Linked DNA regions of Callithrix jacchus. The protein of the gene in region 2 purifies or fractionates together with the protein of the main gene of each other region. This does not show direct contact. Links are inferred from orthologs where the notes say so. Each region holds a gene or a part of one and is shown on either strand. Other genes may lie near its edges.

What was found.
Region 1: the proteins of PTCD3 (region 2) and YBX1 purify together in Homo sapiens (co-immunoprecipitation; 4 studies listed by BioGRID and IntAct, with this or other methods). This does not show direct contact. The link is inferred for Callithrix jacchus from reciprocal best matches to the Homo sapiens genes PTCD3 and YBX1.

The regions. Positions count from the first base shown.
Region 1 is NC_133508.1:79,327,282-79,331,773, reverse strand, and holds the start of YBX1 (Y-box-binding protein 1), read right to left. Parts: upstream 3,104-4,492; 5' UTR 2,965-3,103; coding exon 2,799-2,964; intron 2,123-2,798; coding exon 2,059-2,122; intron 1-2,058. UniProt on the Homo sapiens protein: DNA- and RNA-binding protein involved in various processes, such as translational repression, RNA stabilization, mRNA splicing, DNA repair and transcription regulation.
Region 2 is NC_133515.1:26,866,201-26,870,012, reverse strand, and holds part of PTCD3 (small ribosomal subunit protein mS39), read left to right. Parts: intron 1-174; coding exon 175-260; intron 261-727; coding exon 728-876; intron 877-1,384; exon of another isoform or gene 1,385-1,505; intron 1,506-1,708; exon of another isoform or gene 1,709-1,845; intron 1,846-2,338; coding exon 2,339-2,380; intron 2,381-2,809; coding exon 2,810-2,968; intron 2,969-3,288; coding exon 3,289-3,385; 3' UTR 3,386-3,812. UniProt on the Homo sapiens protein: Mitochondrial RNA-binding protein that has a role in mitochondrial translation.

The DNA.
Region 1 (4,492 bases), on a different chromosome or scaffold from region 2:
TCTCCTTTATATAGAAAACAGCACACGTAATGTGTCAGTCTGTCTCCTTCCCTCTTAAGAACCAGGTGCCTCCAGCCAAGTCTATTTGTTCTACTACATGAACCACATATAGAACCAACTGCTGGCTTCCAAACTGATTTAACACATACTTTCCTTAATTAAAGCAAACCTTCCCTGTATTTAATTGGAGTCAGATTTTACAGCATCTTATCAAAAAGTGTCAGTCATTAAAACAACCAGTTCAGAAGCATAAAGAACATTTTAACCAGTCAATTTGACAAAATAATTGAGGTTAGGATAGTCCAAACAAAAGACCATCAAAAGCCAATTCACAATTTGCCCTGGAGGATGACCAATTGAGTTGATTCCAATTCAGAACAGAGATATTCAATGAATGACACCTCATGAAATACTTGTAAGAATTACTCTTATTTTGGATAAAACTTGATTTTTAAAAATGTGATAACCTATGCCACTCAACAAAATGTAGCGAAACATGGCACACGCTAAACTTCATACATACAAAACTGCAATCTACCCACTGAAAAGGCTGCAAATCTGCACACCAAAGTTACCATTACATTGGGTCAAGGGTTAAAAGCAGTGATTTTGAAGGTATGGCTCACATTATTCTTGCTAAAAAATGTACCCAGACCTAGGCAAGCACACTTAAATCTGAAAAACACTGGTTGAAGGGTTAGACTAGTTCGGAGACTCAGAATAAGACAGAAACACAAACTAAAACACTAGTAAGTTCAGAAAGATCAGTTAAAAAGCTATCAGTATATCAATCATATATAAGCATTCCCCTCCTTCCTTGCTAATAAGCTATTATCAAAAAATTAATGAAAAACATAGTTACAGCCACAACAGTGGCAACAGTATAGAAGGTTGGAAAATCCTAAGATTTTGGAAGAAACAAAACGTTTTCCCACAATTGCAAAAGTAGAGAATAGACCATCAAATGCTTCTCTCTTACTCTGTTTCCACGATAATGTATGATTGATTAATGAACGAACGGTTTTTCATCAAGCTATGATTGTCTGTCCTTAAGCTTGATTTCGTCCATTTGTTGTCCACTCCACAAACATTCTTAATTGTTCTTTTAATCATCTGCTTAGGTCTTCTACAGTAAGAGAATGCTGAGATGGCACTATGTACCATACCTATAAGGCCAAGATTCCTATTGGCATACCCAGGGCTCTACACTCATGTAAACTGCACTACTAAGCCTTGGCAGCCATCTTGAAAATGATGCCTGGCTCACAAGGGAGCCCATGGAATCCAGTGTACTGCACATTACCAGCAACAACCCGAAAGTAAGTCCTAAAGATGGAGCCTGCAGCTTTGCCTTCAAGCAAGAACAATGTCAAGTTACCAGGGACTATGGCCACTCTAAGCTATAGCCAGAAATCTAATAGAAATCGATTTAATCAGTATGATTTTAGGACAAGGAAGAATGAAAAATAAGAACTGAAGAAAGCAAAGAACCATTTTCTAGCAGATACATTATTCTATGAGCAAATAAAAACAGCTTCTCTCTGGTGCTAATATAAAATTTATCTAAGGTATTACAATGAAGGTGAAAAAGGCAACACCTCTCGGTAAAGATGACAAAACCTCATATACTTGGCACGTCAAATCTTACCCCCAAAATGTTAACAAGGTGTAAATATCCGATGTCAGTGGATCACTCTCTCAAACACCGAGTTCAATCAAGTAGAAAAGGATAACAAGGATAAAAATGTACAGGACCGTAGTTTCCCGTTTACCCTGTTAAGGCATGGCTCATTCACTTTGCTTGCCTTTTAAATTGCTTTGTACTGTAAGAAAGCCTTTGAAGTTGGCTTCAAATTAACATTTAGCTGCAAAACAAAGACCTTCTCTAGATCCACTAATCCCTCCAGTCGTCAAGGAATTAAAAAAAAAAAAAAAAAAAATCACACTAATACACCAGAGGTAGTAAACGCCCTTCGGGGCTTCCCAAGCGCCAAGAAGCCGACAGAGCAGGCAACAAGCGAGACAGTGGGATGGAAGCTTCAGGGTCCGGGAGCTCACCTGTTGATGAAACCATATCCGTTCCTTACATTGAACCATTTTACTGTTCCCAAAACCTTCGTTGCTGGAAAAGAAAACAAAGCAAAACAAGCCACGATTACCACCTATCCTTTTCCAAACCCGCCCGGCTTCGGTCTCCGGTCCCTAGGACGCTGCCCGCTAGGCCACCTGACAGCCCTTTCTCTCCACCTCCCGGGTGCCGGGCCACGCCACCACCGCCGCCGCCGCACACGTGGGTGAGTCTGAAGCCGCGGGGCGCTCCAGGGCAGGCCCGGGGCGCGGGCCCAGAATGGGTGTGTGCGCAGGCCGCGGGCGGAGAGCACGTGAGGGAAGGGGAAGCCGCCCCGGCCCACTCCGGCCTGCGTAGGCGGTGCGCCGCGCCCTCTGAGCACACGCGGAAGGGAGCTGGGTGGGGGAGACGCGAACAACGGCGTGCGGGCCACAGCGCACGAGGCCGGTCGCGGGGAGGGGACCCCGTCGCACACGCGGTTGGCGGGCGCGCGACCGCAGGGGGAGGGGCGCGCGTCCGCGCGGGGTCCACAGGGGGCGCAGGAGGCAGAGCGCGCGCGCCTGCCGGGCGGGCCCCCGTGAGGATGAGTGGGGGTGCTGGGGGAGGGGCGGCCGCGCGCCGCGGAGTCGGTCCCCGCCGGCCGCGCGCCCGCCGGCTCGCCCTGCACAGGCTAACGGTTCCGCTGCCAGGCTGCCCGAGGGCCCCACACCCGTCCCCGTCCGGCCCTCACCGATGACCTTCTTGTCCCCGCCGGCAGGCGCCGCCGATGTGAGGCCGCCCGGGCCACCGCTCCCTGCGCCGCTGCCCGTAGTGCCGGGCTTGGTGTCGGCGGCGCTGAGGGCGGGGGCGGCGGGGGGGGCGGCGGGCGGCTGCTGGGTCTCGGCCTCGCTGCTCATGGTTGCGGTGATGGTGACTGGGGCCGGCTACGGCAGCTACGGCTCCTCCCGGGATGTGATGGTAACTAGGCCGGCGGCGGCGGTGGGGCTGCTCAGGGCTCTCTGGGGTCCGCTCTCCGCTCCCGCTACCGATCGAACTAGCGAGAATGGCGGGACAGGCGGGATAAGCCCTACGATCGACCCGCCCTAGGCGTTGTTCACTGGCCACTGCTGCTGTCAATCTGCCCACCTGACCCCAATTCCTGGCTTCTACTGGATAATATTTTATCAGTTCTCCACTCTCATTGGCCCTTTGGCGGCTAATTCAGCCGACCTACAACCGTTCCTGCCTCCGCCGGCCGCCATAGAGACCGGAACTAGAATTAGAGTAGTCGGCCACAAAAACCATAGAGTACCCGAGAGGACGGGCAGAGAGAACGTGATTTCCACGAGGCAGCCGCCGGGCTGGCTAGCCCCACGTTCAGGGTTGTGTCCCAGCTGAAGAAAAGGCACGCCCGAATGCTGGGCAGGAATTACCCGGCCGGACCCGAGATTGGAGGGGGGCCCGACTACGCATTAGCCCTTCGTAAAGAGAAGGCTTCCCTCCCTCTCTGCTCCAAATACAGTCCTTGTGATCTGAGAACATGACTGCAGGCATAAAGTCATCTTTTCTTTAATGGCCGTGTTGTGGCGGCACAGCCTATGGTTTCTGGAATTGCCTTAAACGTATGCGTTTGAGGAGCTTACGCTTTTGTCGGAGCAGTCACCTTGGAGGGACCACGCAGGCTCAGACAGCCTGGGCTCAGCACGTTTAGCATGTTTAAGGCGAGGGTGTGCTCCATGGGGACCTGCCTTCTGATCCGTTTTACCAGGCATACACATGTATTAAAAAGAAGTGTCTTCGAGTGTTCATGTCTTTTTCTACTGGCCACAAATCAGATTTAATTCAACTCACATTTATTGAACAAGCTAGCCTGTTTGGTTTTTCCATTTTATTCCGACAACAGCCATGTGATAGAAGGATTACTATCCACGTTTCACAAACGATAAAATTGAGGCTGCCACCTGATGTTACTGAAGTCCTCCACCCACCGTCTTTCGTTCTTTTTTAAGCGTCTACTATCGGCTGGGGATGGAATAGTTCTCGAGTCAGTTTCTGCCTTCTGATGGCGGCAGGAATTTAAACAGCTAGCACTGGAAATACTCGAGAGCTGCAAAAGCACGAAATATTGGGCCGGGCGTGGGTTCACGCCTGTAATCCAAGCACTTTGGAGGCCAAGGCGGGCGGATCACCTGAGGTCGGGAGTTCAAAACTAGCCTGACCAACATGGTGAAACCCCGTCTTTAAAAAAATAAAATTAAATTAAAAGCACGAAGTATTTTGGGAGTGGAAGCAGGGAGAAGGTGGAGGGCTGACTTTCCGCTCACAGGGTACAGGCGAGAAGAGGTGGGATCTCGGGAAATGCAAGTCAAGTAGTTCAATAAGACTCCAGTGTGGCATTGGGTTGCAGAGGTGGGCAGGGTCACAGGTATATTTAATTGGAAATAT
Region 2 (3,812 bases):
CGTGAACCTGGAAGGCAGAGGTTGCAGTGAGCTGAGATTGTGCCATTGTACTCCAGCCCAAAGGACAGTGCAAGACTCCGTCACAAAAAAAAAAAAAAAAAAAAGTTAACAGTAAACAAGAGAGTGTTGGTTTTACATAACAATGATTAATCCTTGTTTCTTTCTTGTTTCAAGATAGTAAAGAATATGGTCACACTTTCCGCAATGACCTGAGAGAAGAGATCCTGATACTCATGGCAAGAGATAAGCACCCACCAGAGGTAGGCCTGAAACTCACCAGCCGGTATATCCTCCCATAATGAGATCTTTTAAAGACTAGCTTCCCTGGTTTCATCTGCCATTTTGGAGAGTTTGCCACCCAAACCCATATTTGAGTGATGATACATCTAAACAAGTCTTGCCCTTTGCAGAATACTGTTCTTAAAGTTAACCTCTTTACTATAGTCCAAAGCAAGCAACGTGAAATTAAGTTTTGTCTTCAGCTTGCTTTTTAAAAATATTCCATCTACAGAGGAAATGCATAGCTGAATTTGAAAGGTGTGGCTAATCAAAATATTTATTCAGGACAACAGGGTCCTTTTTTATTAAATTACTTGTGTGCTATACACATAACATATTCAAATGGTAAAATGCATTGCTCAAATTTTAAGGGTTCTGTGGTAGTCTCCTGAACTGAAATCCTCATAAAATCAATTAGGCAGTTCTCCTGACTCCTAAAGCTTCTTAGCTTCAGGTAGCTTTTGCTGACTGTGCCGCTGATATCAAATCTACATATGAAAGCCAACCTGTCAGACAGACTGCTCTGGATTGGCCAGCCGTCTCTCTCAACTGTATAGCTGTCCTCTTTTTAAGGGCTGGGAGAACCCAGGAAGCCTGGTGAGTACAGTACCACAGGTATACACTTTGAAGCATTTGTATTTGGCTCTAAACATTGACCCACGCTGGTAGAGGTTCTCTCATTTGGCCGTATAACATGTATTTGATGGGAACATGCAAATACCAACCAAAAAGTAAACTTTTGCTTGCAATGTGCATGATGTATTTGAGAGAAGGCCTGGTTTTCTCAAACCATAGGCTGAGAATTATCTTTCCCTTTCTGCTTTCTGTGTCTATGGACAGGTAAGTCCCTTAATCTCATCACTCCACTTAAATGGACCAAAGATCAAAGAAACGTAGTTTTGAAAGTGTTCTGGTCATTTGGGTTGTGGAAGTATTTTCAGATGCTTCTGCCATCCCACTCTCCAACTTAAAATGTGGGCTGCGTACTTAGACTTCTGGAAGCCGGCATTATGCACATTAACTAGGCCTTGACCACAACCCATTCTTGGTTGGTGCCACTGTTCTGGTTATGTTTTATCAGCACTTCATTCAGCCTTAATATGGCCAGGCTGTGATGATTGGCGCAGGGGTATGGACCTCAGCTGATTCATGGGAACTGAGTGTATGTGTTTCTCCTTTGTCCTGCATGTGGCAGGCTGATGGGGAGTCATGAGTGGGGGTGCTTGTGCATGGCTCCTTGTATAAGAAAGTAACTTTATTTGAACATCTGATTGTCAGCTATCTCCAGGAAAAGATAATGAAGGCTTGTCTTTGAGGTATGGCTCATACACATGCCTCTCTAGCAACTATGCTGCTAGTGACAGACATTTGACGTTTGCATTTGGTTGTTAGCTCAGGCAGTTTCTCACACAAACTGCCTTAATATGGCCAGGCTGTGATGATTGGCGCAGGGGTACGGACCTCAGCTGATTCATGGGAGCTGAGTGTATGTGTTTCTCCTTTGTCCTGCATGTGGCAGGCTGATGGGGAGCACTTACATGAGACTGTTGCCTCAATCTGAGCCTGCTCTTCATAACAGAATTCTAAGACAGACAACCTGTGCAGCATTTTAAGAGAGGGAAACAGTGTGGTTCTGTTCCATGCCTCTTTTCCAGCTGTGCACAGGATGAATTATTCTACAAGAAGACAAATACAGTTTGAGTATCCCTTTTCCAAAATGCTTGAGACCAGAAATGTATGGGATTTTTAGATTTTGGAGCATTTTTGGATTAGGTATATTCAATCTATATCAGCAAATCTCAACATTGGCAGTGTATATCAGGTTTATCTGCGAAAATTGCAGTGTCGATATATGTCGTTTGGGGAGTTGAAGCACCTGAGGTGATTCTCATGTACAGACAGGGTTGGGAGCTAGTAGAGCCCACAGATGTGCGTCTTCGGGAGCTTACAGTACAGTTAAGAAAAAGACATTTAGTCTCTAAGTTCAGAGGGAAGACAGCTATAGTCATCTGATTGCCTTTTCTAACAGTATTCATAATCTTTCTCCTATCTTGAGCAGGAAAGTGTTGGGGCTTTTCAGGAAGCACAATAAGATCCCTAGGTAAGTTGAAATTAACTTTTCCTCCTTGGGTACAGCCTGGAAGTAGTCACACTTGGAATTTCTTCACCAGCCTTAGCCACCACATTTGGGCACTCTTTTATCAGGCAAGCATGCCATCAACTCCCCACCATCCTAGGCATCCTGAGGCCAGCAGTTTCTGTATCTGTGCTCTTGGATCACAGTACGCTGGGGCTAGATTGAATAGATCATCATGAAGTCATATTGAATGAATGTTGATAATCCCTGTCCCTTTAGAGTTAGACTTAACCCCACTGGAAACAAATAAAAATAAATGTTAGACTTTATGTAATCGTCACTATGGAGGTACTTACTATTGGGAATTCTGTTACTGAACTTACATTGGATCTTACCTATAAGTGTTTTACCGAAGGGGTTGGAGAAAGTTCACACTTTGCCTTTCTTTTACAGTAATGAGTTGCTGAATGAGTTTATGGACAGTGCCAAAGTGTCTAACAGCCCTTCCCAGGCCATTGAGGTGGTAGAGCTGGCAAGTGCCTTCAGCTTACCTATTTGTGAGGGCCTCACCCAGAGAGTAATGACTGACTTTGCCATCAACCAGGAACAAAAGTAAGTGGGTCCTGTATCTTCACCATGAAGGAAAGTTTGTAAAATGGAGCAGACCTTTTATCCATCTGCCCATTCAAAATGTTCATAGCTTACTATCCCGTATTTCCTTGCAAAAAGCCAGTGTATTAATTTAATGATTTCATTTGTTATGCAAGTCAGGAAAGCCTATAGATTTGACTGTTAGAAACCTTTTTGTTCCTAATACAGGGTCCCTTTTTCTGATTTCAAAACTGATAGGCTACAGGTGAGTATCAGAGACACCAGAAACCCCAGCACCCAACTGAATTACAGTGTGATTCTCTGGTTTCTTTTCTTAACAGGGGAGCCCTAGGCAAGCTAACTGCATTCACCAGTAACAATGATACTGACAGCAGCAGTGACAGTGACAGCGACAGTGGCACCAGTGAAGGCAAATGAAAGTGGAGATTTAGGAGCAACAATGGCCTCACTGTAGCTACTGGAATTGCACCTGAGAACTGAGATATGTTAATATTTAACATTATTACAAAGAAGACAAGATAGAGATTTGGTGAATTTGTTCCTGTGAGGTACAGTCAGTACACGGCTGACTTATTTGCTACGTAATAACCATTTATTAATGTACCGTGCATTAAAGGTTTAGCATTTAAGTAGCAACATTGTCATTTTCAGACACATGGTGAGGTTCACAGCTCTTGTCATCAGGATAAGCCTGCACACCTACGGTGTCCGTGAGCTGACCTCACGCTTCCATCCTCGTGCGATTGCCCCTCCCTGCTGCTGGGCTTCTGCCTTTCTTGGCCTGATATGATGCTGGTTCTTCATCTTAGAAAGGTGTTCATGCAGTTACATCACAGTTGGTGTT